7 linked regions of the Xenopus tropicalis genome follow. The protein of the gene in region 1 interacts with the protein of each later gene in a pairwise test. Links are inferred from orthologs where the notes say so. Each region holds a gene or a part of one and is shown on either strand. Other genes may lie near its edges.

What was found.
Region 2: the proteins of atf4 (region 1) and cebpg interact in binary tests that used the Homo sapiens proteins (3 or more experiments, as listed by UniProt). The link is inferred for Xenopus tropicalis from reciprocal best matches to the Homo sapiens genes ATF4 and CEBPG.
Region 3: the proteins of atf4 (region 1) and nfe2l2 interact in binary tests that used the Homo sapiens proteins (3 or more experiments, as listed by UniProt). The link is inferred for Xenopus tropicalis from reciprocal best matches to the Homo sapiens genes ATF4 and NFE2L2.
Region 4: the proteins of atf4 (region 1) and gcc1 interact in binary tests that used the Homo sapiens proteins (3 or more experiments, as listed by UniProt). The two-hybrid records come from large-scale screens. The link is inferred for Xenopus tropicalis from reciprocal best matches to the Homo sapiens genes ATF4 and GCC1.
Region 5: the proteins of atf4 (region 1) and golga1 interact in binary tests that used the Homo sapiens proteins (3 or more experiments, as listed by UniProt). The two-hybrid records come from large-scale screens. The link is inferred for Xenopus tropicalis from reciprocal best matches to the Homo sapiens genes ATF4 and GOLGA1.
Region 6: the proteins of atf4 (region 1) and bfsp2 interact in binary tests that used the Homo sapiens proteins (3 or more experiments, as listed by UniProt). The link is inferred for Xenopus tropicalis from reciprocal best matches to the Homo sapiens genes ATF4 and BFSP2.
Region 7: the proteins of atf4 (region 1) and ddit3 interact in binary tests that used the Homo sapiens proteins (3 or more experiments, as listed by UniProt). The link is inferred for Xenopus tropicalis from reciprocal best matches to the Homo sapiens genes ATF4 and DDIT3.

The regions. Positions count from the first base shown.
Region 1 is NC_030680.2:121,049,178-121,053,589, reverse strand, and holds atf4 (cyclic AMP-dependent transcription factor ATF-4), read right to left. Parts: upstream 2,859-4,412; 5' UTR 2,605-2,858; intron 1,537-2,604; 5' UTR 1,424-1,536; coding exon 1,237-1,423; intron 1,013-1,236; coding exon 189-1,012; 3' UTR 99-188; downstream 1-98. UniProt on the Homo sapiens protein: Transcription factor that binds the cAMP response element (CRE) (consensus: 5'-GTGACGT[AC][AG]-3') and displays two biological functions, as regulator of metabolic and redox processes under normal cellular conditions, and as master transcription factor during integrated stress response (ISR).
Region 2 is NC_030680.2:115,638,234-115,642,669, reverse strand, and holds the start of cebpg (CCAAT/enhancer-binding protein gamma), read left to right. Parts: upstream 1-1,578; 5' UTR 1,579-1,701; intron 1,702-4,436. UniProt on the Homo sapiens protein: Transcription factor that binds to the promoter and the enhancer regions of target genes. Binds to the enhancer element PRE-I (positive regulatory element-I) of the IL-4 gene. Binds to the promoter and the enhancer of the immunoglobulin heavy chain.
Region 3 is NC_030685.2:65,686,889-65,690,658, forward strand, and holds part of nfe2l2 (nuclear factor erythroid 2-related factor 2), read right to left. Parts: intron 347-3,770; coding exon 74-346; intron 1-73.
Region 4 is NC_030679.2:89,155,707-89,158,729, forward strand, and holds the end of gcc1 (GRIP and coiled-coil domain-containing protein 1), read left to right. Parts: coding exon 1-103; intron 104-755; coding exon 756-1,865; 3' UTR 1,866-2,254; downstream 2,255-3,023. UniProt on the Homo sapiens protein: Probably involved in maintaining Golgi structure.
Region 5 is NC_030684.2:28,213,126-28,216,895, forward strand, and holds part of golga1 (golgin subfamily A member 1), read left to right. Parts: intron 1-1,345; 5' UTR 1,346-1,484; coding exon 1,485-1,619; intron 1,620-1,985; coding exon 1,986-2,076; intron 2,077-3,770. UniProt on the Homo sapiens protein: Involved in vesicular trafficking at the Golgi apparatus level. Involved in endosome-to-Golgi trafficking. Mechanistically, captures transport vesicles arriving from endosomes via the protein TBC1D23.
Region 6 is NC_030682.2:52,673,166-52,677,690, reverse strand, and holds the start of bfsp2 (phakinin), read left to right. Parts: upstream 1-1,507; 5' UTR 1,508-1,508; coding exon 1,509-2,054; intron 2,055-4,525.
Region 7 is NC_030678.2:140,584,244-140,588,647, forward strand, and holds the start of ddit3 (DNA damage-inducible transcript 3 protein), read right to left. Parts: upstream 2,808-4,404; 5' UTR 2,704-2,807; intron 1-2,703. UniProt on the Homo sapiens protein: Multifunctional transcription factor in endoplasmic reticulum (ER) stress response. Plays an essential role in the response to a wide variety of cell stresses and induces cell cycle arrest and apoptosis in response to ER stress.

The sequences.
Region 1 (4,412 bases):
TAATGTATTAAAGGGAAAATAGAAAAGAACCCCACTTAGTTCATTTTGAAAACCCAAGCTAATTTATACTGCACAAATAAAGAAATCCGACAAAAAAGTAACTACAAAATAATTTATTAAGTAGACATTCCACAACATTCTTAAGTGACCTATATACAACATACACACGCTCCAGCTTTGTTCCCTATTCAAGAACTTTTTGCTCGTTTGCTTTTGGCCTGTCGGACTTCAGCTATCAGATCTTTCAAATACTGGATCTCTTTTGTTAACGAATCTACTTTTTCTCTAAGGGTATCATTTTTTCCCTCTAGTTCTCTGCACTCTCCAGATATTAACTCTTGCTCTGCTCTTTTCTTCTGTCTGTAGCGAGTGGCTGCTGTTTTGTTCTGCTCCATTTTCTTTTTCTTCTTGTCTACTCTGGGCTGCCCTCCAGCTACTTTCACCTTCGCCATCACATCTCTATCCTTACAGGGAAGATCATAAGGTTTGGGTCTCTCAGAGACTGGGGACTCTAGGGAGGACTGAGGACTACTATAGCATTCTACAGTTGATGGACTCTGCTGAGGGGATTCCAAGTAGGAGGGGCTCATGCTGATTCCACTATCATTATCAGAGGAATCTTCCTTCTCACATTTAAGTATCTCTAGAGTATATGTTGCAGAGGACTTTTTCTCATCCTCTGCAACATCTACCTCACTACCTACATCCAAGATGAAGGAATGGTCTGGGCTAGAGGAGAGAGAGGCTGTCAAATCTGGGCTAAATGGGGCAACCTGATCAGCATCCAGTGGGGACTCTGGAAGAGAGACAGGTTCAGGTGATGGCACAAAGTGGCCAATCACTGCTGCATGAGGTGGGTCCTCTAGGAAATCACATGAGTCTTCCAACGTGGATGTTAGCTCATCTGGTGAGATAGTGGATTCCAGATCTTCCAACCCAAACAGGGAGTCTAAATCAAATTCCTTCAGATCCATCTTTTCCACCATCCAATCCATGCCGGAGAAGGCGTCCCCTAATAAAGAACAAAGAAGGCTCAGAAAGCAAAGCAACAAATTTCTATCATCTCATAAGCTAAGTTTTACAATCTTTCCACTTAAAATGCCCATTAGCCATTGAACAAATATTTTAACAAATCTATTCCAGTAATGTGGCTGCAAAGAGGTGCTTCAAGCAAAATACATGAATATTCTATTATACAGAAGAGAGACTGAACCCTTTGAAAGCCAGTTTACTTACCATGAAAACTGCCTAAAGATTCAACATAAGGCAGCAGGTCAGAGACGCCATCCTTAGCCTTGTCGCTGGAGAACCCTTGCGATAGGAGGTACCCGGGCACCTCAAATTCATCCTCCAAGAGACCCAAACTCTTTTCAGCCGCCAAAAACGACTGGTTGAAGGGGGACAGAAGGTCCCCCAACAGCATCTCGTCGCTTAACAAACTCATCTTTCTGTAGGATCACGAATTCGACTGGTGATGACAATTTTGAGCTTTCTTCCTCGTATACAGCAATGCTGCTGTGGGATGCCTGGAGAAGCCTGCATAATAAAAGCAAATATTAAGAACATTATTAAGAAAAACATGCTTGTTCTTCACAATGCTTCTTCACAAGAGCAGTATTATATTCTAGTCTTCTCTTCCCTCATGACCAAATATGGGCACCTTCCCTCCGGCCCCACCCACACCCGGTGATTCACAAAGCTGATCAGCAGCCATTTCACAAGTTAACCATCTGGTTTGTTCTCCACCCTGGTATGGATGCCATTTTAGCATCAAACCCCTTTAAATACAAATTGCTAAACCATCCAAACCATGTCCTAAACAAATGAAGTCACCTTCCTCACATAAGATCATTGTTGAATGCTACATTTTATTGTTAAGCACAACACTAACTGAAAATACATTACTAATTTTCAATGCCATCTGGAGCGCTGTTATGAGAGATTCCCCTATGCATACAAGGGAAACAGCTGTCTCTAGAGAGCAAGTCTAAATCTGCCTGGGGAGAGTCTCATTTCAAAGCACACCCATTAAGAATTCCCAAGCCACACAGGAGCTAGAAATACCACTAAAGGAGATCAAACCCACTGTGACATTGAAACATTTTAGAGAGTCCCCCATTCAACAAACTGATTAAGGCAATAGCTACAATTCCTAGTGGAATTCGTTTAACCCTATGGACACCACCCAGGTTACAAAAGCAGCAAGTTAATAGCTTCAATAATTTAAACCGTAAACACAAGATGCAAGTTCAGGAAATCTGCATTTGTAAGAAAACCCAAAGGTCCCTTTGTGGCCCTAATGAATGAGATGTATATACTGATAATTGTCACTCCAGCAGCCGCACAATATGGCTGATAGCTATTGTCTACCTGCTGTACATACATCGTACCCTAGGGGGCGCCAGAGTCGAGTCTGCCAAGGACAAGAGCCACATGGCAAGACACATAAGAACATTTACGTTCGATCTACCGCTACATTACCCCAGACATTCCTTCCTGCCCCGTTTTATATTAATACTCCTGCATTTCAAGCAATTTCCCACCCCCCACACACACACACTTAACACCTCGCCATGTAGTACATGACCCAGTAGGGATACTTACGCCATGGCTGTGCCGTTGCCTGGTGCTGCGGGCGCCGCTGGGAGCTGCTGCCTCGCTATGGCCGGGGGAGAGGGGAGCCGCAGGCCTGTGCTGCCGCTATAGCGCCATGGCTGTCCGCTGGTTATTGCGGCGCCGGACTGAAGAAATCACTGTTGGAACCTGCTACAGCAGAAGCGTCGCGTCCTCAAACCTTAGTATTTAGTTAACAAAAAAGACCCAGCGACAGCAAACTACGTTCCCTCTTTCATTCCAAGCTGCAGACTGACGTGGCGGGCGATTTACCGCCCCTTTATATAGACTCGTGGTTCCGCCCCGTGTATCCGTCCGCTCTGTAGTCTCTTCTTTTGTAGCGTCGCTCTGACATGTGATCTGACGGCAACGTGTGCCTCCGCTCCAGGAACTATACTGTGTAATGCAATTATAAATGGATCAATAGGGTTCTAACAGAATAAGATTCATCGCGGAATAAATGTGTGCGTGGTGTTTATTAGAGTAAACGAAGGCAATATTTTAGTTCATTGTTTGATACACTGTAGTGCTCTTGTACGAATTTCTGCGTACGCCAGGCCAGGGCAAGACCCAGACATTGTACTTCAAAGAGGACAATGTGTCAGTGTCACCGACGTAGAAAGTAGTGTCAGTCGCCCGATACAAATGAAAACCATTTCGGTCATTAGTATAATAATCCATGTTTGAGTGACTGGCGATAGACAGACGAACAGGCCTGATAGATTTTTATTATACGTTAAATATAACATTTTATCAACACCCCCTGCTTTGCCACAGTCTATGAAAGAGGCAAGGGGTAAATACCACCAATACGGATAATAAGCACTTGGGGCAAATATTATGGCGTTCCCCCGAAGTAACCAAGAAATAAAACTCCTGACACCACTTTTTCACTTTATTTATATTGGCTAATTAAGCATTATAGACATAAACGAAAAGGGCGCGCTAGTTTTAATTAATTCATTTGGTGTGTCACGCGTGTTCCTGGCATTGCCCCTCCCCACTGTTATGGAAACAAACCCACGTCCCACTCCCACATTATCCCCCCCCACTCTGCCCGCCCTGCCACCAAATGGTGAATCCGCCCAGAGACGCTTTCATATCACGAAGCCAACGCGTGTACAGCTGCCGTTGATTGGTTGGCCCAGGCAGCGCCCAATCCCTACACGCCGCGCTATTGGCTGAAAGCGAATGAGCCCTCTGAATCACGCAGTGGGCACGCAAAGCTGCTGCACCAGAGTGAGGCGGATGGGCGGGGCGCCGGCGCTGGAATGTGAGGAGAATCGCTGATGGGAACTTGGGAGCGTGTCCTGGCGCTGCCATATTTGTCTCTTCCTGCTCGTTTTGTAGCTTCGCTGAAGTAAAGTGTATACACTATAAAGAGCATCTGTTGTTGGAGCATTCCTGAGCCCACATGTTCGTTGTAAAGTCAGCCCCTGTAACATTACAAATTAAGTGGGAGCCATTTGGTGTTTTAAAGGAGTATGAAGTATGTTGTGACAGTTCTGGACTATACCATGTTAACTGCTACATTTGAGGGGGATTACTTTAACACTCTGCGCTTATAAATGTGGCTACACTTTCAGTGTGATTAGTGGCACCATATGAGGTGCATAAAGTGGCAGCTGAATGTGGGGCCACATTGGGGCGCTTATATATCTCATTATCCGTAGTCTGGCCCTGCCTATTACTGTGGCCCCTAGTGAAATTTGGCAGGGGGGGGGGGGGTATAGCACTGGGCAAGTGACAGTCCTGGTTGTGGTGTTAGTAATTTTAGGTTTATATAACAGTGCTTGGCA
Region 2 (4,436 bases), about 5.4 Mb from region 1:
TATTTGTTTAAAACTTACCTTCAAGTCAGAAATTAAAAAATGAGCACCAGCTTTTAGACGACTGGGAGTAACATCAGAGGTGTTAGTGAGCAACATGTTGCTCATAAACCAATGGTTGGGGATCACTGGGTTAGGGGGAAACAATAGTTTTCCTTGAAAAAAAAAAAGCCCATTTCAGCGCTAGGCTAGCTGCACTGGGAGGCCATGGGCAGCCATGTTGTGACACACATGTACATAATAAGCAAGTGCCACAACTCATTATGCGCGTGGCTGTGATGTAGGAGGATGAGTTGTATTAACCGCTCCCATGTCAGGCGCATGAGCATACTGAGCAAGCGGGGAAATTCTGTCAATATGCACATGTGTGCCAAACAACTTGGCCACCCGCACCGGGCGTTCCCTCCGGCGGCAGCTATTTTTTTCCTAGAAAAACTATATAGGGGAAACAGGGATTGTCTTTCCATATATTGCAATATATTAAAGTCAAAGAAGCCTTCAATGGCACCCGATCAAAATCTTCTAAGCCGCCCGATCGGCGAGTCAACCGATATCAGCAGCCTCCTGCGATAACGGTCGCCTCACCGACTTGCCATACATGCAACAAATATTGTACGAAACAAGGTTTCGTATGATATTAACGGTGTGTCTATGGCCAGCTCTAGATGTCACTGTGATCCTCACAGTATACACGGTCCCTTAGACCGATTCGGCAGCTAACCGGCTCGTGTATGGGCACTACCGACAGGCCTGCCCGACCGATATCTAGCCTGAAATCGCCCAGATATCGATCGGGCAAGTTAAAAAATCTAGTCGGAACGGGGACCGCATCGGCTCGTTGATGCGGTCCCCAGACCGACTTTGCCTAAACCCGTTGTTATAATTCGATCGTTTGGCCCCAGGGTAGGTGGCCCACCCGTAGGTGGGGGATATCGGGAGAAGATCCGCTCGCTCCACCCACAGAACTTACAATTGTATTTAATATTACACAGCACAGGGCACTACTTTCTGGGGATAGGGCAGTCTGTTATGACAGGGGCAAGTGATGAGTAGAAACTGGACCATTATTGCACATATTTGGACAGAACCAGGAACAGACAGCTTACCAGATAAAAGCTGAACAGGTACCATCCCTGTTGGACTCAACGCTGGGCCTCAAAATGAAATATTAATATAAAAAAAATTGAAAACCACTAAATTAAGATCAAGTATAAAAATTCTAATTGATTTTAGACAATTGTTAAGTTCTCCATTAAATTTTAGTGTAACATGCTGATAAGATACGTCTCCATTAAGTAAATAGTTTGGCAGCACCCTGTATGATACAGTTCTGCAGAACACATACAGGTGAGGAGTGCAAACGAGGCTGTTCCAGGGACCTCATAGGGAAGGACAGCAACTTGTAACAATAAAGTTACATATGAAAAAGAAAAAAATGGACTTGGGATCTATGGGCGGGGCCGCTCACCACTTGCCAACGACGGATTGGCTGCCTCTGCTGCCTGTCGGGGGATTGCATCATGCTGCCCGAGAGAGGAAAGATCCGAGTGATTTCGCAACAATCTATTGTGCGGTTCGGATGATCCACAGCCCCGAGTGTCCGGAGGAGGAGTAACCTACGGATCCCTAGTGAGGACAGGGGAAACAAGTCGTGGGGGAGGGATAGGCTTCCCTCCCCGGGCAGGAGGACCTCGAAGCCATCAGGTAAATTGTACTGTACCGGAGTAGAAACGTCTCAGAACGGCTGCCTTTTACCTGGCACCCTGCAGGTGTTCGGCTGTATTTCCCTTCAGCGCTCACAGTGTCTGGGTGGTAGGGCATACTGGCATTTGTACCTAGAGACACCACTTCAGACACTTCATGGCAGTCGCATAACTCAGAGGGGAAGAAGTTGTAATTAAAAGTTGGGGTTCAGCCTTTAGTTGGGATACCATCGGCCTCCAGCTGTGGCAGGGCTTTCCTTCTGATGGGGGTTATGGGATTTGTAGTTCTGTAACAGCCTGAGCGTTACCCTTCTAATGCAAGAAGCATACGTACATCGCAAAGCCTTAAGTGCTAACTGTTACCGGAGGGCTGGCAGGGAGATGCCGCCCTGGGAATTGACATAGTTTGTGAGTGGCTTTGCGCTGATCCACACTCAGCCCACTGTCGCATCCGACTATATCGCACATGCAACAGTTGTGCTCTAAACCTTGACTATTCCGTAGGTTTAAAGTAACAGCTTTCGGTGGGTGCTGCTGGCCATCCCCCCATGTTGTCCTCCTGAAAAGTCTGACCCAGACTATTCTGTATTGCATAGCTTTGCCTGTGCACATAGGAACAAACTCATTCCTTATATCAGATATTTCCTATTATATGTGCTTTATAGGTGTGTGATGCTTTTAGAGAGTGGGGAGAGCCCTGGCGGATACTGGTAGGAGTACAAACTGTGTAGAGGGAGAAGCCCCTGCCTTAATGTGCTTTGTATTGTATGATGGACCATTAGCCACTATTCAAAAACAAACCGAATACTCACTGAACACTGCAATAGTGTATTTACTGAGCCTGTTATGCCAGGTGGGAAACTACCAGTTGTAATGGACATTGTGACAGCCAGTGATGGTTATGGCAGACCCCAGATCCCAAACAATTTGGTTTATAGTTCATGTGCCTAGCTGGGTGTTGATAGAGGGGATTTGGCCTTGAAAAAAATGGTATTGCTTATTATAGGCTGTCTTGTCTATTCAGAGTTATTGTTTTTCAACGGATTAAGAGTTCTATGGTTGCTAAGCAGTATATGTAAGGGATATTTTTTTATAATAACACCTAACAATGATTACTTAAAAGATAACTATACCCCCGGGTGCAAAAAGCCCCCTTAACTATCATTGCCTAGACGCCCTCACCTCGCAGTTGAGGTGGATTTCCTGCTACCTGCAACTGCACATGAGCAAGCAGGTTCATATCAGCGGAGAGACTTTCTGTGTATCTAACTGGTAGTGTAGAATATTGTATAGTTTCAGGAACTGATTTAACTTGCCTGTCTGCCTGGAGGTGCAGCCACATTCAGTTCACTACTTTCCAATGTAATTGATGGGATCATTAGTCAACCCAGTGTTCTCTTTGACCAGTATACTATGGTGAGAATACACTTGTGACTGAAGTACTAAATTGCAAATTTGGCCTGACTGCTTACAGTCTGAATGACCAAGATGTCTGAATAATTGTGGGCATACATGTTAAGATCTGCTTATTTGGCGAGGTCAGCAGATGATCATATCTTCTGCCAATATGCCCACCAAAGGTGGGCAATATCAAGCTAAATCAATAATTTTACCCTAGGGCCAAATGAATGCAGCCCACAATCCAATGGGAAAATCAAGCCTGCCGATTGACCACTGGACAATTTTCGGGCAGATATCATTTAGGAGGTTTGTCGGGGTGGGGGGCATACGCATGCAGATAAGCTGCCGAATCAAGTCGGCAGCTTAAATCTGTCCCTGGGCACCTTTAGTTAGCTTGTGTGTCCAGTGGTTGCAGGTTAACTTAGCTGCCTTAGAACAAGGAGAATCAGGATATGATGGTGACTTAACGCTTCAGTTAGTAAAAACAGTAATGGGCAGTCAATTATCAAGCCAATAATATTTAAAGTAAATGCTGTATATTCATTTACAGATAATCTTTAAGTTGTTTGTATGTTCACCCTGTGCTTGTGTAGGTTTCCTCCCAAGAATGACAATTCTACAAGCATTAAATAGTATAAAACCGGTAGGGAATTGAATAGAAAGACACTTAGCAAGCCCCCCATGAGATGAAGATCAGAGGCCAAGGTTGTGCCCGTAGCTTTCTTGTTGATATCTATAGTTTACCCTGTGTAGTGAGTTACATTGAATTCTAAACTTGGATTTGCTAGCAAGTTGATGGTGGCATGTACTGTGCAAGTGTGATCATGTTTAGCTGAATGCTGGGTGTCTCACTTACCTCATACAGAAAGTAAAACTATTCCAGAATAACCCATGACTGTTTCAGAGTTTCCATACTGCACTTTGTGCTTAGTATGACTCAGGATTTCAGGGCAAATGCTTAGTAGCGGAGAAAATTGTGCCATTCTGGCAGCAGCATTAGAAATGCCACAAACCTCACTGGATTCTAACTGATTCCTGAACTGACAGGGTTTCTGCTCCAGTCTTACATGTCGCATCATTCTCAGGAACTGTTAGTAAGGTGTGTGTTCCGCAAGCGTGTGCAGCCACACGTATTTAGTCACGTAGCTGTGAGCCACATTTCATTATATAAGTATCTTAAAGTGATACCGACACTAAAAAACTACTTTTCAAAATATTATTGTACCTAAAAAGTTACCTATAGGTCATGTTGATAATTTTTCACAGATAGGGCTGCTTTTTGTTACTTGAAGTTCCTAAACCTGACTGTTTAATCAACCTGACTGTCCCTTCTCA
Region 3 (3,770 bases), on another chromosome or scaffold:
AAGATGCCACATTATTGTATGTGAATTCCCTATGTCACATGTTTCTTTCATAAACAAGATCTGGGCTAATTACCTCAATGGAACTGGCAAGCTCCTGCGTGACTGCTGCAGTCTCAATAGGTGCAGCCTGTTGGATTGGGATGAATTCCCCTGTCTCCTCATCTAATTGCAGTTGGGCGTAGAGTGCTTTTTCCCGTTCCTTCTGCAGCTGCTCTTGCCGCTCCTTTTCAAGCTTCTTCTGTTTCTCCAATTCATTTTCCTTCTGTCTTTGGTTATAGTCGAAAACCTCACGGCTAACACCGAGGTCAATGTCTTGCTTCCAAAGAATATCAATCAGATCCATATCCTAGAAGAAGTCAAATACATGGGGTTTAATGTCCTGATACTTTTTGGATAATTGTTCAACCCCATGAAGCAGCTATGAAATCCAACACGACTGATAGTGGTAGGTTACATCTTCAACTGGGCTTGGATTAAGCTGATGTGGTAATCTTTCAAGAGGCAGGTGAACATTACCTTCTCATGGGAAGTTGTGACACTGCCAGGTTCACATGAACATTCACACCCATGGGAGCAGACCTAATCTCCAGCTATATGCTAGTAATGATGGAGCAATGTTGAATTCTTTGGAAATGCCTTGGTCGGGAATTGTCAAAGTTGTTGCTCTCCAAATGCCATCAACCCCCTAAAAGCTAATGTTTCCAGGACTTTGGCATTAATAAGCATACAGTTGACAAGGTATATAATTAACTGACAACCCTGGATGTAAAAAAACGTACTAATTCTCTACTAATGGGGCTTAATTCAGGAATCCACATCTAGAAAAGTAAAAGATATAAAATGGATAAAAACAATACTGCTATAGGGTTTGCCTAGAAGTATGCAGGAATCTAACTGAACATCTAAAAGGTTTAAGTATAGACACAGACATGCTTTGATGGTAGCACTAGTTCTAAACCATGGGGATGAAACCAGTTAGGGGGCCTGAGGCAGTGAGTGGAGGAAATGGGGCTTAAAAAAAAAAAAAAAAGATTTGGAAGTAAATTGTTTCTTGTTCTACATTTTCCTGGAAGCCCAGCCTGAGGAACCAAATTAATATTTTAGACTTAGGAACCATGGCAGGATGACAATGTGTTCATAAATCTGTATCTTAGTAAGGAGACAAGGGATGCTTGAACCTGTGAAAAACACTGGTCTATATCTAAATATTAGGGAACAACCATGATTTTTCCTATGTTTTAAATATCCAATTTTCGCTTAGAAATATCTTCACAGCCTATTTTAGGTAAATGTAGGCGAATCTGTCCCATTTCGCTTCGCCGAAAAATTTGCAAAACGGCGGAAATGTTGCACGTAAAAAAAAAATTGTCACCGCGGCTATTCTATTGTCGCCCGCGGCTATACTTTTGTCGCAGGCGACAATTTTTGGACGCTCTGCAAATTTTTCCCCGGCGAATGTTTTCATCCGTTTTGCGAAACAATCCGCCAATGGTGAAATGCATTTCGCCCATCACTACTGGATATCAGTCTGTTCATCAAGCAGGCAGGTTTGAAAATGTCATCTGCCAATGCATATCTGCCAGGGCACTGTGCATCAACAGATGAGAAACTGAAGAGGAGCCACAGCTCCTAAAGTATTGATAACTGCTTTAAGATTACAGCCCTGATGCTACTGCATTATGTCGTCCAACAGGCATGTACCAGTGTTATCTCTCCCTTTTAATTTGCACCCCTGGAAAAGAATTGATCTATAATCAATATCCTAAAAGTGTGCTGAAACCGTGTAGCCCTAATGTGTCTCTACATGAACCAACAAGCTGTCACCTTTGGCCATCGTCCCCCCATTGTGTCGAGCTCTGGGCACCATCAATTGGCCATTACCAAATACAGCAGTGCTGAAACCTTCTGTCAATACCACAGAGAGAGAATTTGGACTACATTTTGGTTGCAAGAAGCTCATTACCAAACTCACAATACGACATCTAGGCAGCAACCTACCCAGAAAAACAATGCACATTTATACACTAGTAGGGCTCATTTATTATTGGCCAGTAACCAACCACTTGATGACCTCCACTCTCTTCTACTGTGGATTCCACCACACAAGCATGTTCAGCAGCTGCTTGTGCTCAGTTTTCTGAAGTGGACACAAGTAAAGTAGTGCATGAGTCATTAAAAGCTCAAAACTATGCTCCTCTAGACCTAATTGGCAGCTTAATGGCCTCCTAATATCCTTCCTGACCTCTCTGAAAATCAGCCAGATTATCTATCAATTTAGCAATTTATCTAGAAAATCAGCATGTTAACAGTTTTCTTTCAATCGGTCTCCATTATGATGTAATCACTAGCCTGGGAGCCTAACAATCCGTAACTGACCTTGTGAGTTGGCGGCCACAGCAGGTAAATACCTGGTCTAGCAATTTCGCAGCACATGACCAGCATACAGGGCATTTTGACCACCACTGTGCTCAGGCAACAAGTATGGGAAATCCTCACAGATGAGGGTTGTAGAGCAGTGGTTTGTGTGCCATGGCATGTTAGGAATACATTGGTAGTGGTGACACATCCATACCAAGCACTTTGTTTTTCTCCTGGGCACTGCGGCAGTCAAAATGCGTTATTATTGTTAACCCAACAGTTTATAGGATATAGTTTTCAATGAAGAAAGGTGTAAACCATATGCATTGATGTGACTTGGGAGAGATTACATCATGGGCCAAATACAAAAGCAAGTGGAGGAATATAATAGGAGGGTTGGTTGGAAACCCAATACTAACACTGGCTCTTTCAATCTAGTTTATTCCTCCTGTAACAAGATAGGCTGGTAAATACAAATGAAAAGATACAGATTACAAGCACTTTAGCACATAGCAAGAGTTTAACAGACAAGATGGGTATGGCTGAACCAATGATCAGAACGTTAAAGTCCATATGTTAGTATTATCCATTGTTTTCATAGACATTATATTCATGGACCTACGCAGGTTTTGTTTAAAGAGAATTTAAACCCCCAAAAAATCACAATTTGCCTAATGAAATGAAGAATTATAAGCAACTTTCCATTGTACCATTATTCTAAATGCTCAATGGTTTTAAAACTATTTGGAAAAATAACTGTGTGCTTGGGGAAGACACACAGAGCTACTTAGTAGCAGCTATATTTTCACTTCTACTAAATACCAGAAATACCCTGCCATACCATACCATTGCCTCTGCTAAAACACACGTAGAGACAATTATCAGTAAATGATCAGCATTGTCTATTTTAGTAGGCGTGACAAGTAGCTGCTACTAGTATCTCTGTGTGTCTTACCTCTTAAAAGCAGTATCTGTTTGTACCTTGCTATTCTCTGCTCTGGTGGTTTTGACTTTTAAAACAATGTAGCACAAGACTGCCTACTAACAAACCTATGAAGGAGCATACAAAGCTGACTTTTTTTTTTTTTACACGTTTCTAGAGACAGAACTGGCAGTGCAGAAGGGGACACTAGTGCTGCTTTCAATTGTAGTTATATGTAGAAATAAAACTGACAAGAGTAACCGACATAGCAGGCTGCCCACGTATTACACATTTCATGAGCAGAATAAAGTTGCCTATCTGGACTGTTAATTATTTATCAACCAGCATTAATCATCAATGTCTTTATACAGGAAAAGCTTCTTTATTGCGATACTTTATTGACACTTTATTGGAGGAGGACTTTTATAATACTAACCCACACAATACTGCTAGCAGGCTGTATGACCAGACATACCAAAGCACCTCAATA
Region 4 (3,023 bases), on another chromosome or scaffold:
ACGGCAGGGAGCAGAACCTGACCCAGCAGTAAAGAAGCTCCAAGCAGAGCTGGATAGAGTGAAAGAAGAGATGCATGCTCTTCTGCAAGAGGAGAGAAAAAAGGTATAAATACATTGTGTTAATGAAATGTTAAATATATGAGATGTTCCTAGTTAAGATGACTAAATGGGACCACAAAATGAGAAGTTTTGCCTATATGTGCAGATCACTGCACAGAAGTACAGCCTACATCAGCTGATTATCCCATATACATGTTAACAGGAAAGATGATTTGGCATGTTGTCCTCAGTGCTGGAATCATTGCTCCAGAATGGGCTCCTGAACGCAGGGCAAGGATCTGACACATTATGTTACTAAACTTAGCAAATGCCAGACTAGTTGGAATTTAGAGATAAGTAACTAGTTACTTTTACTTATGTACAGCTGAAAATACAGCATGTTGGCTTTTACAATCATATTTTCATATATCCATAACACTTCCTTTTGTTACGGGGAGCATGTGTCAAAAGTTGCACTTATTTCTGAGAGGTCTGAAATACCTATATATAATTTACAGGATATTCATGGTTCTTGTGTATTTTATACTGTCACCCCCCCTACATTCTTCAGTATGTCAGTCTTTTTCCTTTTTATAGTATATTGTTTGTTTCCTTTTTTCGTTTAAGTCTTTCCTTTGTACTTCGTTTCATACATAGTTTACCATGTTGCATTTGCAGCAGTTTTCATAATTTGTCTATTGCTTTTCCCTATTAAGAAGCTGGATGAGGAGCAAGAAACTATGCAGCGTTTTCTACAGGAGGAGCAACGCATCTGTTCCCTTGAGTCTCAGGTTTCCGAAATGTCAGAACTTCTAGGTGCAGCAGAAACATCCAAACAAAGAGATCAAGCAACTATTCGCAAGCTTCGAGAACGTCTAATACAGCTAGAAGCAGAGAACAAGACTCTTGCACTAACCTCTTCAATGCAAACCCCATCTGAAGTTACTTTTAATTTTAATAAAGGGGAGGATATGGATGAGGGTCCAGAGCAGCACGCATCTGTGCTTTTTTACCAGCAAGAGCTTCAGCAACTGAAGGAGGAATTTGAGCGTTATAAATCACGTGCACAAGGTGTACTAAGAACCAAAGGTGCACGGGAGGGAGAACTAGAGGCTGGCAAAAAACAAATGGCAGAACTGAAAGAACGATGTGTTTCTCTGCGACTTTCTGCAGAAGAGGCTGAAAGCCAGCACAAAGCAGAAATGGAGGCTGCCCAAAAACAGATTGCACTAATGCTTCAATCTCACCGGCAGGAGCTAGAATCTGTGCGCAAAGAGGGTAGAGACAATATGGCTCGTCTGGAGGAAGAAGTGCGACAGCATAGAGAACGAGTACTAGCTGTTTTAGCGGAGAAAGAGCAAGAGCTGGAGAAATTAAGAGAAACAAAGATCACATCAGTGGTCCCTCTCTCAGTCCTGGACTCAATTGGCAATGGCCTAGAACTTTCACAGGGTGCCTCCTCCACTTTTATAGTGTATGCAGAACAGTTGTCACGCAAAGAAGCAGAGATTGGAAACCTGCGACGAAGAAAGCATGAACTGGAGTCAGAACTACAGAGTATGCAGGAGAAATTGGCAGAGCAAAAGGAGGAGGCGAATATTCTACAGGAGCAAATGAAAAAAAATGTACGAGACAGAAGAAGGGAGGGGGCAAACATGGAGTATCTGAAAAATGTATTGTTAGGATATTTGACATTGCCAGACCCAAGAGGAAGACAGCATACACTGAGCGCTCTGCTTGCAGTGTTGCATTTTTCTCCGGAGGAACGAAATGCAGCATTGCGTGCACAGGAGGGGAGTAGGTGGTGGGCAGGAAGCAACAGGTGACGTCTTCTGAAAGACTTGCAGATGTTATAAGTAGACAGCACGTTGCACATTTTATTTGGCAGATATTTATGATCATCTCCTCTGTGAGGCTTAGTAATAGTAATAAGCTTAGTAATAAAACTTAAAGACCTTTTTTTGAGAGTATGCACTATTCATCTCAATTAAAAATAAGTATCTGACTTAAAATCTTGGTCCACCTCTCTCCAACTATATGGTTCTGGACTGGAGTGCAGGAGAGTGACTGTGTCTGAGGAACTGTTCTAGAAAATTACTGGTATAAGTGTGAGCTGACTAGTCAGACCATGCTTTTCAACCAAGTTGCACCCAAAATATGGCTGCCTTGGCAAAAGACACAATAAAACAATTGCTATGACAAACTACTGAATACATTGAAAGCCCGCTTGTGTTTTATGTATTAACAGGAAAAAAATTTACCCTGGTTTAATTAACCAAAGCACATAATATCTCCGTATTCTAAGCACAATAGAATTGCAGTTTCTAATCCCAACTAGGCAAACCTTTGCTTCATTTTCTTGTAGTAGTTTTCAGTAGACTGAAAACTAGATTCTAGTCAGTTTCTATTGGCAATTGCACATTTGCAATTTAGCATCTATATTTTAATCAGTCTATTATTGTTTTTAAATTCTCATTTTTAAAGATTGAAACTAGTCTGTAGCCAGGAATTGCTCATTACATGTGCTCACACTACATCAAAGCCGTGTGTGTCTGTGTGTCTAATTGCTGACTTATAGTTATTTCACAAGGATATAGTTGAGTTGTTACATACTGTTCCTCTCAAGACATTGCTTTTCCGTAGCAAATACAATATCTTTATATATAATATCTATATCGGTTCAGCAGATAAGAGGCTAAAAAGAAGCCATGCCACATAGAAATCACTACTCTCAGAACCATGCTGCTTTTAAAGTTCATAATGGGCCTTTTCATCAAAGGAATACTATACCCCCAGAATGAATACTTAACCAACAGATAGTTTATATTATGTTAAGTGACCTATTAAATAATCTCCTTTAAAAAAAGGACACACATGACTAACATTCCGTGCACATAGAATAACTTGGTGGCACCTCATACATTTTTGCTTGGTTGATGGTTGGCCACAGAAAATTTCCTAGGAGGGGGCAAAGTCAGTAACCA
Region 5 (3,770 bases), on another chromosome or scaffold:
TGCAATCGCTATGTTTTTTCCCCACAATGCAGTTTCTCCAGAATTCAGGCACAAGCGGAATCAAACAGGTGATTTTCATGACACAATAGTGCTGTGCCTGCCACTGTTACATTATAAATTGGGTGCAGTTGCTGACTGGAGTCATATCCAGTATTCAGCATGCGACAAATGGATGTGCCCTATTCTTTTTGTGCCAGTGTGCAGGGCACCAAGGGAACCCTGGAGCTACTGCCTGGTCAGGAGGTGGCGGTTGGGTCAGTGAGCGCAGATTCGGAACACAAGGCAGGAAGGACTGAGCAATGCCAAGTGCAATTGTACAGAAATGTGAAGAGTTCATTTTGACCAAGTACTTTCCCAGTCTGACCCTCACCAAACACAAACCTCCAATGGTCGCCCAAATTTCAACTTGCACATAACTACTCAGCTCCTTCTAAAGAGGTGTCTTAATTATTTCTCAGTACCTCAGGTACACCAGACTTTTTCTCCACCCATGGGAATACACCTGTTGAAAATATTACCCTACTGTGCATACTGGGACCATCAAGGCAAAGCTGGCAGATAAAATGGCAATGCAGTGCTCACAGCAGTCTTTGCAGTGGTTTGCCTCCAGGCGAATTAAACCTTTATTATACAGAGGTTTATCATTTATGTTGCTCCTTTATCTATCTTTATTATATTTGTCTCTTTCCATATATCTTTCTTTACCAAGCAAGGCAAGCTATGTGAAAGCTTCCACTGAGCTGTTTCAATTTGCACCAAGCCCTGCAAAAAGTTGTGCATCAGGCTGAATCCACTGCTGGTGGGTAGTACAAAGGCAACCCCTGGAATGCCCCCAAATTTGAGTGCCATTTAGTCATGCCCTAAAGGGCAAGGTCATGACTCCGTTGTGCTTGACACCATGTTTGAGTTTTGTGCCCTTACACTCGGGTCATTGGTCTTTTTCGTTTTAGAGGTTTGATAAAAGAACTCATTTATTGCCTAAACTTAAGCCAGACTCTTCTAAATGACAGTTTTAGCATTTGCATTTGTCACTAGAATCAGGTGACTGTGCATTATTAATGAGGTTTTTTTCTCTCTTTCTATGGTGTGGCAAGCAACCAGGTTTTTTTGTTCTTTCGTTCTCACCCTGAAAGCTGAGAACCATCGCCCTAATATGTGGCCCAGTGCATTGAGCTAAAATAGCATGGCACTAGTGCCATCCAAGGGATTTACCTGCTGCTGTTTTGCTAGTAAATAACCAGCTTTTATGTGCTAGGGCCACTGCCAGTGGAAAAAAAATTGCATTTTACATTCAAAATTAGATTGAGTTACTAGATTAATAACATTTCAAAATATACCTTTTCAGGTGCATTATGGGTTTAATGTGGATTCTGTGATGATTTGAAGCACTCTTCACTGCAACCTCACGGACTGGAAAGGATTACGGATACCTATTCTTCTAAGACTCTCTTACCGAAGTCTGAGGAAGCAAATAAGTGGAAACTATGTTCACCAAGCTGAAAAAAAAGATTGCAGAGGAGGCAGCTGTAGCTCCACGTCCTGGTGGGGCAGCCCGAATCCCCCGTACTATTAGCAGGGAGTCCATCACATCAGCAGGGGCTGATTCAGGAGATGATTTTGTGAGTTACAGTTTAAAATATTTACTTGTAAGATAATAACAAGTAATGAATTGGCAAACTAAAAGTGGTCTTCATGCACAGATTTGATAGATTTTTACCTTATTGCCCCTGTTGGATATATATGGTCACCTTGGACCAACTTTGATATGTCTGGACTGAAAATTAGATCTGTTAATGCCTCATTTCAGCGTACAACTGGGGAATCTGCAGATATAGAGAAAAACCTATTATTGCTATCTTAAGGCCTTTAAAAGTCCCCAAATGTGGGCATTTATGAAGAGGATTTTTTTTCTGTAAATTTGCTTTATGCACCTGTAAACTTACATTTTAAAGTTTATAAAAACATCACTTATTCTGATTTCCTAGGCCTCAGATGGCAGCAGCTCCAGGGAAGACCTTTCCTCTCAGATCTCCAGGAAAAATGAACAGATTCGCCGCCTTGAAGCAAAGCTAATGGGTAAGATGCAAGAACTGTGCAGCTTTTCATTTAACCATAATTCTCATGTTTAGATAATGAATAATGTAGTGGCTGCCACACCTGTTGCTGAGTGCTGGATGAAGGGAATAGAATAGAATTTGTAGTTCAACAATAGCTAGGTTGCCACAGGTTGTATAATGTGTAAATGGAAATCGGACTAACTTTATAGATATAGGAAAAGTTTGCACAACAGGCAGACACAGACTTCCTTACAGAAATCAAATGACAATTATTATAAAAGCAGTATCACTGAATATTAACAATTATTCTTAAAAAGGTGCATGACAGCAACATTTCAGGGTTACCAGAGGCCTGAGTGCAGCTCATAATGTCACTGCCATGTGTTGGTGAATAAACACTTGTCTTTGTGGTCTGCCTGTCTGACACACTTGCATTGTAAAGGGATATTGTAATTGGAATGAAAAGGGTTTATTGTACAAACTGTATAAAATTATTGAAAAAAAAATGTTAGTCTTGTAAGTGCAGGATTAGTAGCATTAGTCACCGTGGATGCACTGGCACATACAGGGTTAAGTAGAAGGCAAGCTGCAGTGAGTCTGAACTGACTCGTATAACCTGCCCGGAACTGTTCAGGTAGCTCCAGGAACTTTGAAAATGCAGTGAATCCTTGAGAAGGGAACCTGCCTGTGTTGTGTCCTGGTCCTGGAGGCACCCATATGTAATAAATATGCAAAAATGAAACACACTTGTATGCTGAATTCAGAAAGCATTTATTATTTATTAAATCTTCCTGAAACACAATCCATTTTCTAGCAAGCTCCATCTTTTTTTGGTGTTTATAACTGTCCCACCAAAACTGGGACCTATAACCCAGTGACCCACTGGGAGCTATAACATTTAATACAATTTATACATAATATATAGCCCTTGATATATTCCCTTTAAATTAATCATTCCCAAGATGATCTATAGTACAGTCTTGTACATTGTACTTTTTATAATAAATTATCCCTTTAGGCAGTCTGTGCTTTCTACATACACATATAGGCAATTAAAGGGGTACTAAATTTTGGTATGCTGGCCAATTCATTGCAAATTTTTAACTGCTTTTTTTTTTTAGATCATTTTTGAACAATTTGCTTTGTTATTCTGACTCTATCAAGCTTTCATACAGGGGCACTGACCCCAGCAGCCCATAAGCTACTGCTCTGTGAGGCTAAAAATGTGTTATTGCCAATTGGTATTATTTATCTTTCTATTTAGGCCCTCTCCTATTCATATTCTAGTCTCTCATTCAAACCACTGCTTGGTTGCCAGGGTAATTTGGGCCTTAGCAACCAGATTCCTGCTGAAGTTTTTAACTGGAAAGCAGCTGAACAAAAAGATAAATAATTAATCAAACACAAATTAAAAATGTAGACCAATTGAAAATGGTCTCAGAATATCACTCTCTACATCATACTAAAAGTTTAATAAAAGGTGAATAACCAGCCAGTAATAATTTTCCTAGTGTGGTACCAGTTGGGGGGCGGGGGAAACATTTTTATTCCCGTTCGTCAGTATTTCTGTTGAGTTCTCCTACTTATTGCTTGACTTAAGAACTAGAAACAATATTCAGTTCAATATTGAACCTTCTTAACTGGCAATTTGAAAGCTTTAACCATTTTGATGTTTAGACCTCATTTTGGTTGGCCCCAGTGTTGTGAGCATTA
Region 6 (4,525 bases), on another chromosome or scaffold:
TCCACAAAAGCCATACTGCCCGTACCCCACACACTCCCCAACTCCACAAATGCCATGCTGCCCCTTTCCCACATACCCTCCATAACTAAGCAAATGCCATAATGCCCCTACCCCAAATACCTCCCAACCCCACAAATGCCATGTTGCCTCTTCTCCACCATAGGTATTCCTCTGTACTTATTTCAATTTAGCAGGAACAGCCCCCTATGTGTTTTTACAGCCTGTACTGTAAGATTCCATTAAACTATGGCAACATAGGTATGCCCGTTCTAAGCACAATTAATCAGGAACAGCACCCTAAAATTGTTCATAGGCTGTACTGAGAAATACCATAAAAATATGGCAGTATACTGTAGGTATTGCTATATTCTAAGCACAATTCAGCAAGAACAGCCTCCTATGTTTGCTCATAACCTGTACAGAGAGATTCTGTAAAACTTTGTAAGCATAGGTATTCCCCTGTGCTAAGCACAATTTAGCAGGAACGGCCCCATACATTTTTTCATAGCCTGTATAGATAGATAACTTAATGGCAGCACACTGTAGTTATTCCATTGTACAAAGGACAATTCAGCAGGAACAGCTCCTAGGCTTAATAGAATACATAATAGATGCAATATAACTGTATAAATTATGTGCTTATTGCCCATTTCTGCAATGATCTCACTGGTGAGTCGGAAGTTAATGGAATGCCCACTATCCATTTCTGCAGTGATCTCATTGTTAAGTTGGGGGTTAATGCATACCTCCCAACATTTGAAAAACCAGGGGGGGTATCCTTAGCTTGTAGGGTGTCCCTTCCTTAGCCTGAAGACAGGGCCGGATTTGTGGCGAGGCCACAAAGGCCCGGGCCTAGGGCGGCGCAAACTTAGAGGCGGCATGCTGCCCTGCTGCAGTGAAATTTTTTAATTTTGCTCCCATACGGAGCAATGGGGATCTCTCCCCATTGCTCCATATGCGCGCTCGTGGCGGGGGGGGGCGCACAAAGGGGGCGGCCTCGGGGCACCCCAATTTGAAATCCGGCACTGCCTGAATAGTTGGGAGAGATAGGGGAGACACTCAGCCTCAAAAATAGGCAGGGCCACCTGAACCCAGAGTGCCACCCTGGGTTCGCTATATATATATATATATATATATATATATATATATATATATATATATATATAAGCAACCATTGTCAGCACTCACATGATTTAAAAAATGATTGATTGAAGAAAAAGACTCAACGTTTTGGTCCCCCACCATATGTATATATATATATATATAAAACAATTATAGTTGGGAAAATATAAACGTGTATATACTGTATATGTCCTGCACCCTTTGAATGAAGCTCAGACACAACTCTAATGTGAGCATGGTGTCCATTTCACCTTCTTTCATCTGCCACTATTTGCTACAACAGAACATTCCTGAATGGAACTGCTGAGGTACTGAATACCATAGGACAATGAGGCACAAATACTCCATGACAGTCAGTACAAGCACAATGTTCTAGAACAAAACATATGACAGGATTCTATACTGAAAATACACAAGCCAAAAATAATTGTGTGTTGAGCCTGGCAATAGAGCGTCTGAGACCAGAAACTGTGGTGGGATCTTCTAGCATCATGCCTTTACCAAGGCGCAGATCTTCCATCTTGGGGCAACAGCACCACTACACCTCTTCAGAATGTTCAGGTGCAACCAACCGAGTCTTTTGCATTGCACCAAGGAATCCTGGGGTATATGTAGGCAGTGCTCTAAGTAGTGGAACCAGCAGCCTTGGTACACGAGTGTCTCGACGGGCCTTGGGCATCAGCAGTGTTTTCATGCAAGGACTGCGCAGCTCAGGCCCTCCTGTTCCAGCAGCTCAAGGTCTGGATAAAGGAAGAGTCCCAACATTTGAGTCTCTGAATAGCTGCCTTCTTGAGTACATAGACAAAGTGAGGGCTTTAGAGCAGGTGAACAGAGAGCTGGAGGACCATATAAGAGTCTATCTGGACAAGAAGTCTTCAACTGTGAGCAGCTGGGGGACTCTCAGGGATAAATGGGAAAGTATCTACTATCAAGTAAGTGCTAAATAATACTTTATTTAATATATCATTTTAAATGCAAACCTTGCACAAACATTGCAAATAAATGGCAATATTCAAAAATTAAAAGGGCAAGAACATACCTCCAGGTATTCTACACTGCAAAAACATACAGGAAGGATAACTGGCTTGTGATGACATTGACTCTAGTGTTTGGGTTGTGAAACCTTATCTAGGCAAGGACTGGTATTAACAATTTAACAATAAAAAATACATTTAAAAAAAAAAATATTGGTGACCAATAACTGGGGCAAAGACTAAACCTGTATACAGTAACTAGGTGCCAAGTTTGAAGGAAACCACTTTATTAACAAAGCACAAAAGGTTATTCACGCCTTACATAATTGTATAACTAGGGGGTGTTTAAGTAAAGAGTATAAACCATGAAAATCTGCCGTGCGCTGTGCTGCGAAAGTTTTTGGGTTTTTTTTGGAAGGGTTGAACTTGAGTCTGGTCTTTTTACAGCCCTTTGTAACTATGTAACATGCACTTTGCAAACACACCCCTAAATACCACACCCATTTTACTAAAACATACCCAAGACGTGCCAGTACAATTACTACAGAAAATGGACAACGAGCATATTAACCAAAAAAGAGCCAGTATAATCACTAAATGAAACAGAAAATGGCCATTTTAACCCCAATATAATTACTATGGAAAATGAATAATCTGCATATTAACCCCAGATGTGACAGTATAATGATGTTGAAATGTCCAATGGGCACTACATTAACTCCATATATTCCAGTAAGATAAATGCAGAAACAGATAGACCTAAAGCATTCCCTCACCTACACTTGCACAAACAGAATTCCAGCACCAAAGCCCTTCTTTCCTGCTGCTCCCACGCTGCTTGTCTCTCTCTCTGCCTCCCTCTGCCTGGCTCATGTAAAAAATCCAGGATGGCCATGCACCAATTTTGGATGTTTTTTCGAGAAACAGGGAGCTGAGAAGATCCAAGAACAAAAAGCAAAATGGGATATATAAACAGTGATCTTGGACAGGCAGCTGGGAGCTATGCATAATTCCAAAGGGACAAGTGCCCCCTTGCCCCTATTTGTGGACACCAATGCAGGCAACCCAACAAATTACAACCCCCATAATTCCCAACACACTTCTTGGGTTCCCTCCTTCCTACCCTGTTGTGGACATGTCGTTTCCCAGTTCCTGGCTTACTTCCATTTGCGCATTCTTTACAATGATGATGAAGCACAGTAATTTTTACCATTTGAAATGTTATTTTCGAACCAACAAATGTATTATTTTTTAGTTGTTATATTGGTGTGTAGGTGCCATCTCAGTGCATTGTGCCTGAATCTGAGCTTTCAGAAAAAACCAGTGCTACACATTAGAACTGCTTTTAGGCAACCTATTGTTTCTCCTACTCCCATGTAACTGGAGGAGTCCCAAGCTGGACTTGGATTGCTTACTATTGAGTGCTATACTGATACCTACTGGAAGTGGCTAGCTTGCTACCTTCCCATTATTCTGCTGATCGACTGCTGGGAAGGGGGTGATATCATTCCAACTTGCAGCTCAGCAGTAAAGTAAAAGTTTATCAATGCACAGGTCACATGGTTGTGGCACCCTGGGAAATGAAGAATATGGCTAGCCCCATGGCAAATGTCAAAATTAAATATAAAAACATCTGTCCAGATTCTGCTGGAGAAGCTCTATTAACTGATATGAAAAATTCCCATGACAGTATTCCTTTAATATTTTGATCACTTACATACAAATGTCAAACGATGCTTGCTCCCAATGTTATTAATAGGGAAGACAGGTAAATATACACTAAGCCCTGTATTTTTTTCCAGAAAAAATGGGACCCTATGGCTTTGTAGCAGATCACCCTGTTCGACTTATACCTCACAAGAGAATATTTAGAGACATTCAGGAGTACAGTACAGGAAAGAGCAGGAGAGAACCCAAGGGGGGGACTATTTCTCTCTTCAGACTCTCTCCCAGACCAGAGAGCTCACAACATATAATCGCAAATAAATTAGTTTGAGGAGACTGCCTCATACAGACAAAAGCAAACAAAAGGAATTCTGGGAGTGAATTCCAAACTCTTAAAAAAATCCCATTTACATGGGTTTATCCTATAGGCTAAAGCTCACCCACTGGCTTCAGCTTCAAACCCAGTGGGTGAGCTGTAGCCTATAGGATAAACCCATGTAAATGGGATTTTTTTAAGAGTTTGGAATTCACTCCCAGAATTCCTTTTGTTAACATATAATCGCAAAACTGAAGGATCATTGGCATGTCATCAGTTGTTGTTGGCACAAGGTGGCAGCAAACACAAATAAAACTGGTTTGACTTTACAACCTTATTACACTGCACAGACATTTTTAATAGGAAGTAAATACTATGGATTGTATTGGACAACATGAAAAGCAATTTTCTTACCTGTCAGGCGTTACCCTAGCCATCGCCAGCTACA
Region 7 (4,404 bases), on another chromosome or scaffold:
TTGGGGTCCACACATGGACTGAAAATCATACAAAATGTAGTACTGGTTTGGCCAGCTTAAGTCTTAGTGAGATCTTAAGCAATAAGGAGGCAATGTAATCAAAATGGCAACTAGATCTAGTAACCCATAGCAACCAATCTGCAGGTAGTGCTTACTAAATTAGGATCTTGAATACAATAGGCCTCGAGACTGGTTACTGTTACAGGTTAGTCTTTATTTTTTTTTTTTTTTATACAAATAACCTTCACACAACATGCACCATAAAACAACTATAAAACTTTGCCAGCTCGGTTAAAAAAAAAGGTAATTCCCCTCTAAACACCCTTAACCGAACACAGATCTAAAAGGTGCCCATACACGTGAAGATTCGCTCGCTTGGCGAGGTCGCCAAGTGAGCAGATCTTCAACCAATATCCACACCTACAGGTGGCAATATCAGGGAACATGTAGGCCAATTCAATCGTTTAGCTCTGGGGCCAAACAATCTAATTATAATGGCGGCAATGGGGCAGTCAGTTCGGGGACCGCATCTTTTAACTGGCCCGATCGATATATGGCCAATTTGGGGCAGATATCGGTCGGGTATGGCCGTCACTTCTGCCCCTACAGGAGCCGATAAGCTGTCATATCGGTCCAAGGGACCAATATCAGCAGCTACAATCGGCCCATGTATGGGAACCTTTAGTGTGGGAATGGACCCAAGCGGAATTATACAGGGATTTTTTTGGCCGCTGTAATCTGCTCTACTGCAAGCAACAAAACTTCACTAGGTTTTCCCACCATTAATTCATATTACTGCCGCTGGGAAGGAAATTTGGGATATTTTGTCAGCTGGAGCAGCGCAGATTTAGCAAAGGGGAACAAAATGTTTGTGACATTGCCCTGAAGGAAAGCAGCCTGTATTTATATTCAGTTAAACAAATGGACATTAAACAAGATAGTGATTGGTTTCATTTTATCATCTTGTTGTTGGTTCTACAGTCACTCTCAGCACCTGTTTAACTATGGGTGCCTTGTAATATCCATTTTGTGAGTAAAGGTGGCCATACACAGGCAGATTTAAGCAGTCAATTCAAGCTCTTTGGACTCTTCAGAAAGAGCATTTAGTTAATTGTTAAAGACTCTGCCCATGACTTTAATTTTGCTCTTAAATATTTTAGTTCAGTTTGGCCAGGGGGGTGGAAGCCTAAATTTCATCTGGCATGTGCAATTTCTATAGTTTTAGATTCTACCATCTACAATAATATAGGGCAGGTAATGGATCACCAACTTACATCCCGTGAGAGGAAAATTGAGGAAATTGAGCAGCAGAAAATGGAAACATAAGAAATCACGACAGCTTGGATAACTGAATTGCCGTTTGTTTTGGCCAGCAGTGTTCCATTGTCCTATTCTGTGACAAGCTCTATCAAATGATGTATATGGTATGCTCCAGTGTTTAGGAGATAAGGAATCATTAACAGACAGTCCTTGGAAAAGGGCAAATGAATATGCCTGTAGGACAAGCATTTTATTACTGGTCTGTGCCTGTACTCTCCTTTATCGGGTTTAATAAATGCCTTGGCTGATTTCAACCCCCCTGGTTGCCTTACAGCAGCACCAGGAGTGGGATAAAGTTAAATGGCTATGAAGTCAGGCAATACACGCACCGATAATATACGATATTTGGTGCGTGTATGGCAACTCGGCAAGGCGACAGATATCGCAGAAGGTTGCGGATATCGGTCGACACTCCAGTCGGGAGCCATTGAAGGCGTCTGAGCAAAATCTGCCTTCAGGGCTGAATCGACAGAAGGAGGTAGAAATCCTGTTGTTTGTACCTCCATATCTGCCGTTTCAGCCCTGAATGTCAGCGGAGGGTTGGAACGATCTTTTGTGCGACCACCATGTGGCCAGCTTTAGTGCTTAATCTATGCCAGCTGCTGTGTGATGGGAGTCACATTGGGGTCCGGACAGCTGGAGAGTGGGATCTGCTGCTGGGCTGCTGTGTCTGCCTGGCTGCTCCAGCTGAGAGACAACAGGGAGGAAGGGAGGGGGAGCCACCGCTGTATTGTAATCCTGGGCTCTGTAACCGGCAGCAGTGCGAGAGTGGGCTCTGGGACAGGCTTAACCAGCACTGACTGGCCCTGCCTCCACTCATTCATAAGCCTCAGATACCTGGGATGCCGTAGGTTCTAGAACTGAGCACTCTTTGCCCTTTTGGTCCCATATAGATTGTAAGCTCTACGGGGCAGGGACCTCGTTCATCTTGTTTCTGACTCTTATTGCAACTGTACCTTGTATTTATTTGTATTTATTGTTATACTTTGTATTTATCCATTATCTTTAACCCCCTGTTTGTATTAATGTATTCTACTGTACAGTGCTGCGTACATAAGTAGCGCTTTATAAATAAAGACATACATACATACATACATACATTTCGCCCCAACCAACAAAACAGACTCTAAAGAAATTATAGAGCATCTCCCCTAATGGACCATACCAGAACGAACAGTCTTACCAGTATCAACACTAAAGATGAACTACATCTCTCATCTTATAGACTCAGGCTCTGCACAGCGTTGGAATAATAAAATGGTCACAAAAAAACGTCACTGTGCGCTTGCCTTACTAGAGCCGGATTAAAGGCACACATAGGAGATGCCGATACCTATGTCCAAAACTCGCTGTAATCAATATGAACACAAGAAATAACAATACCTTTCTCCACGTAGGGTCTGTTCTCTTTTGACAAATAAAGCGACAGCGTGAGCTGGTTTGTGGTTGCACGTTAAGAGACTGTGGGCTCATGTTAAACATCGTCTGCGTCTTCAGCAAAACGACTGAGGATATGTGCGAAGAAGCCGCGTTATATAGCTCGCTGCCTTAGCCAATCAGATCGTCGATCCCAATCTAGCGTACACGACCCTTATCCTATTGCTTCCTCATTCGCCTCTAGCCAGACGTTCCGGGGAGGACTTCTATTGCCAGCCCCCAGGTGCCTTCTACAGCCAATTAGAAGGCTAGCTGAAAAAGCATAACGAGGTATGAAACGCAGAGGCCCGTCAACCGGAAGCCTAAAGGCGGAGACACTTGGGTATGCTGTTGTGCAGTCAGAGGGTGTGTTGCGGAAGTGTTTTGTTGGAAATCACGAGACGAGAGTGAGTCATAGTGGGTGATGCAAGAGCTGGCAAGCTGGGGCCAAGCCTTCCCCCAACCCGAGGGACTTTCCAAGCTTGCTTTTCACCTTCAGGTTGTACGACCTTGTCCGCAACCTGGTTTTATCATAAGAAAGCAACATAAATAGCGAGAACTAAACCTAAAGAAGTAATACAGAGAGATATAAAACCTGCGTTGCTAGAAACAACTAGCGACTAATCCTAACGCCAAAATTGTATAAGGTGCCGGGTTTTTTATCGTTCCAATTATTTAAAGCAATTTCACTTTAGAAATGTAGCTGGCTAGTATACCAACTAAAACACACAGGGGCATATTTATTATAGTGTATAAGCCAGCATGACTTGAGGCGATAGCAACCAATGAGATATTTGCTTTTGTTTCTAACTTGTGATTATTAAAATCTAATTGCTTATTGGTTGCCATGGGCAACATTACCTGTCATGTTGGCTTACACACTGAAATAAATATGCTTCTTAATACCACCTTATAATGTATCTAATTATACAGTTCATTACTCAAAAATAATTTTATTCCAGTTTGCCATGTACATAATGAATACATCTTTATTTAAAAAAAAAAAATCCATGAAAAGTCTATATTAAAAAACCTGTACAAAATATGTATGAAAAAAATCATGAAAAACAATGGAATCCTTAGGTGTAATAGAAGTTAATGTGGTCAAATGAAGTCACTTGATAGTGTCAATGTAGATGGACAGCGGATGTTAGCTGAACAGCATCAATTTAAAATAGCAAAAATACTAAGGTGAAAATATTGAAGCAGTAACAGGTGGGATGGTGGTTTTCCTGATGGAAAAACGAGTTATTTAAGCATTGACTGTTTTAATTACTGAGGCTAGTGCTAGGCATTGGGTATAGATGTATAACTCTTTAATGTACCACCACTCTTTAAATTTGCTGCTTCTCTGCTGTATCTAAAATTGTTGTGCATTGCACCATTATCATCATTCATTTATTTAACCAAATTTGAGGTTATTAAACTGGAAAGGCGCCTCTTCTAGTGAGAAAGTGCTATTGGGCAAATGGGTGACACAAGAGTAACACTCACCCCTTTATCCCTGGTAACCAGTAAGTCACACAGTGCTTTCCTCCCTGCTTTCCATCAGCATGTGTAAAAATAAATTCTGCAATCATTTCCAATCTACTGTACAGCGCTTCTTACATAAGTAGCGCTTTATAAAGAAAGATATACATACATACATACATTATTGTGTGATAACCA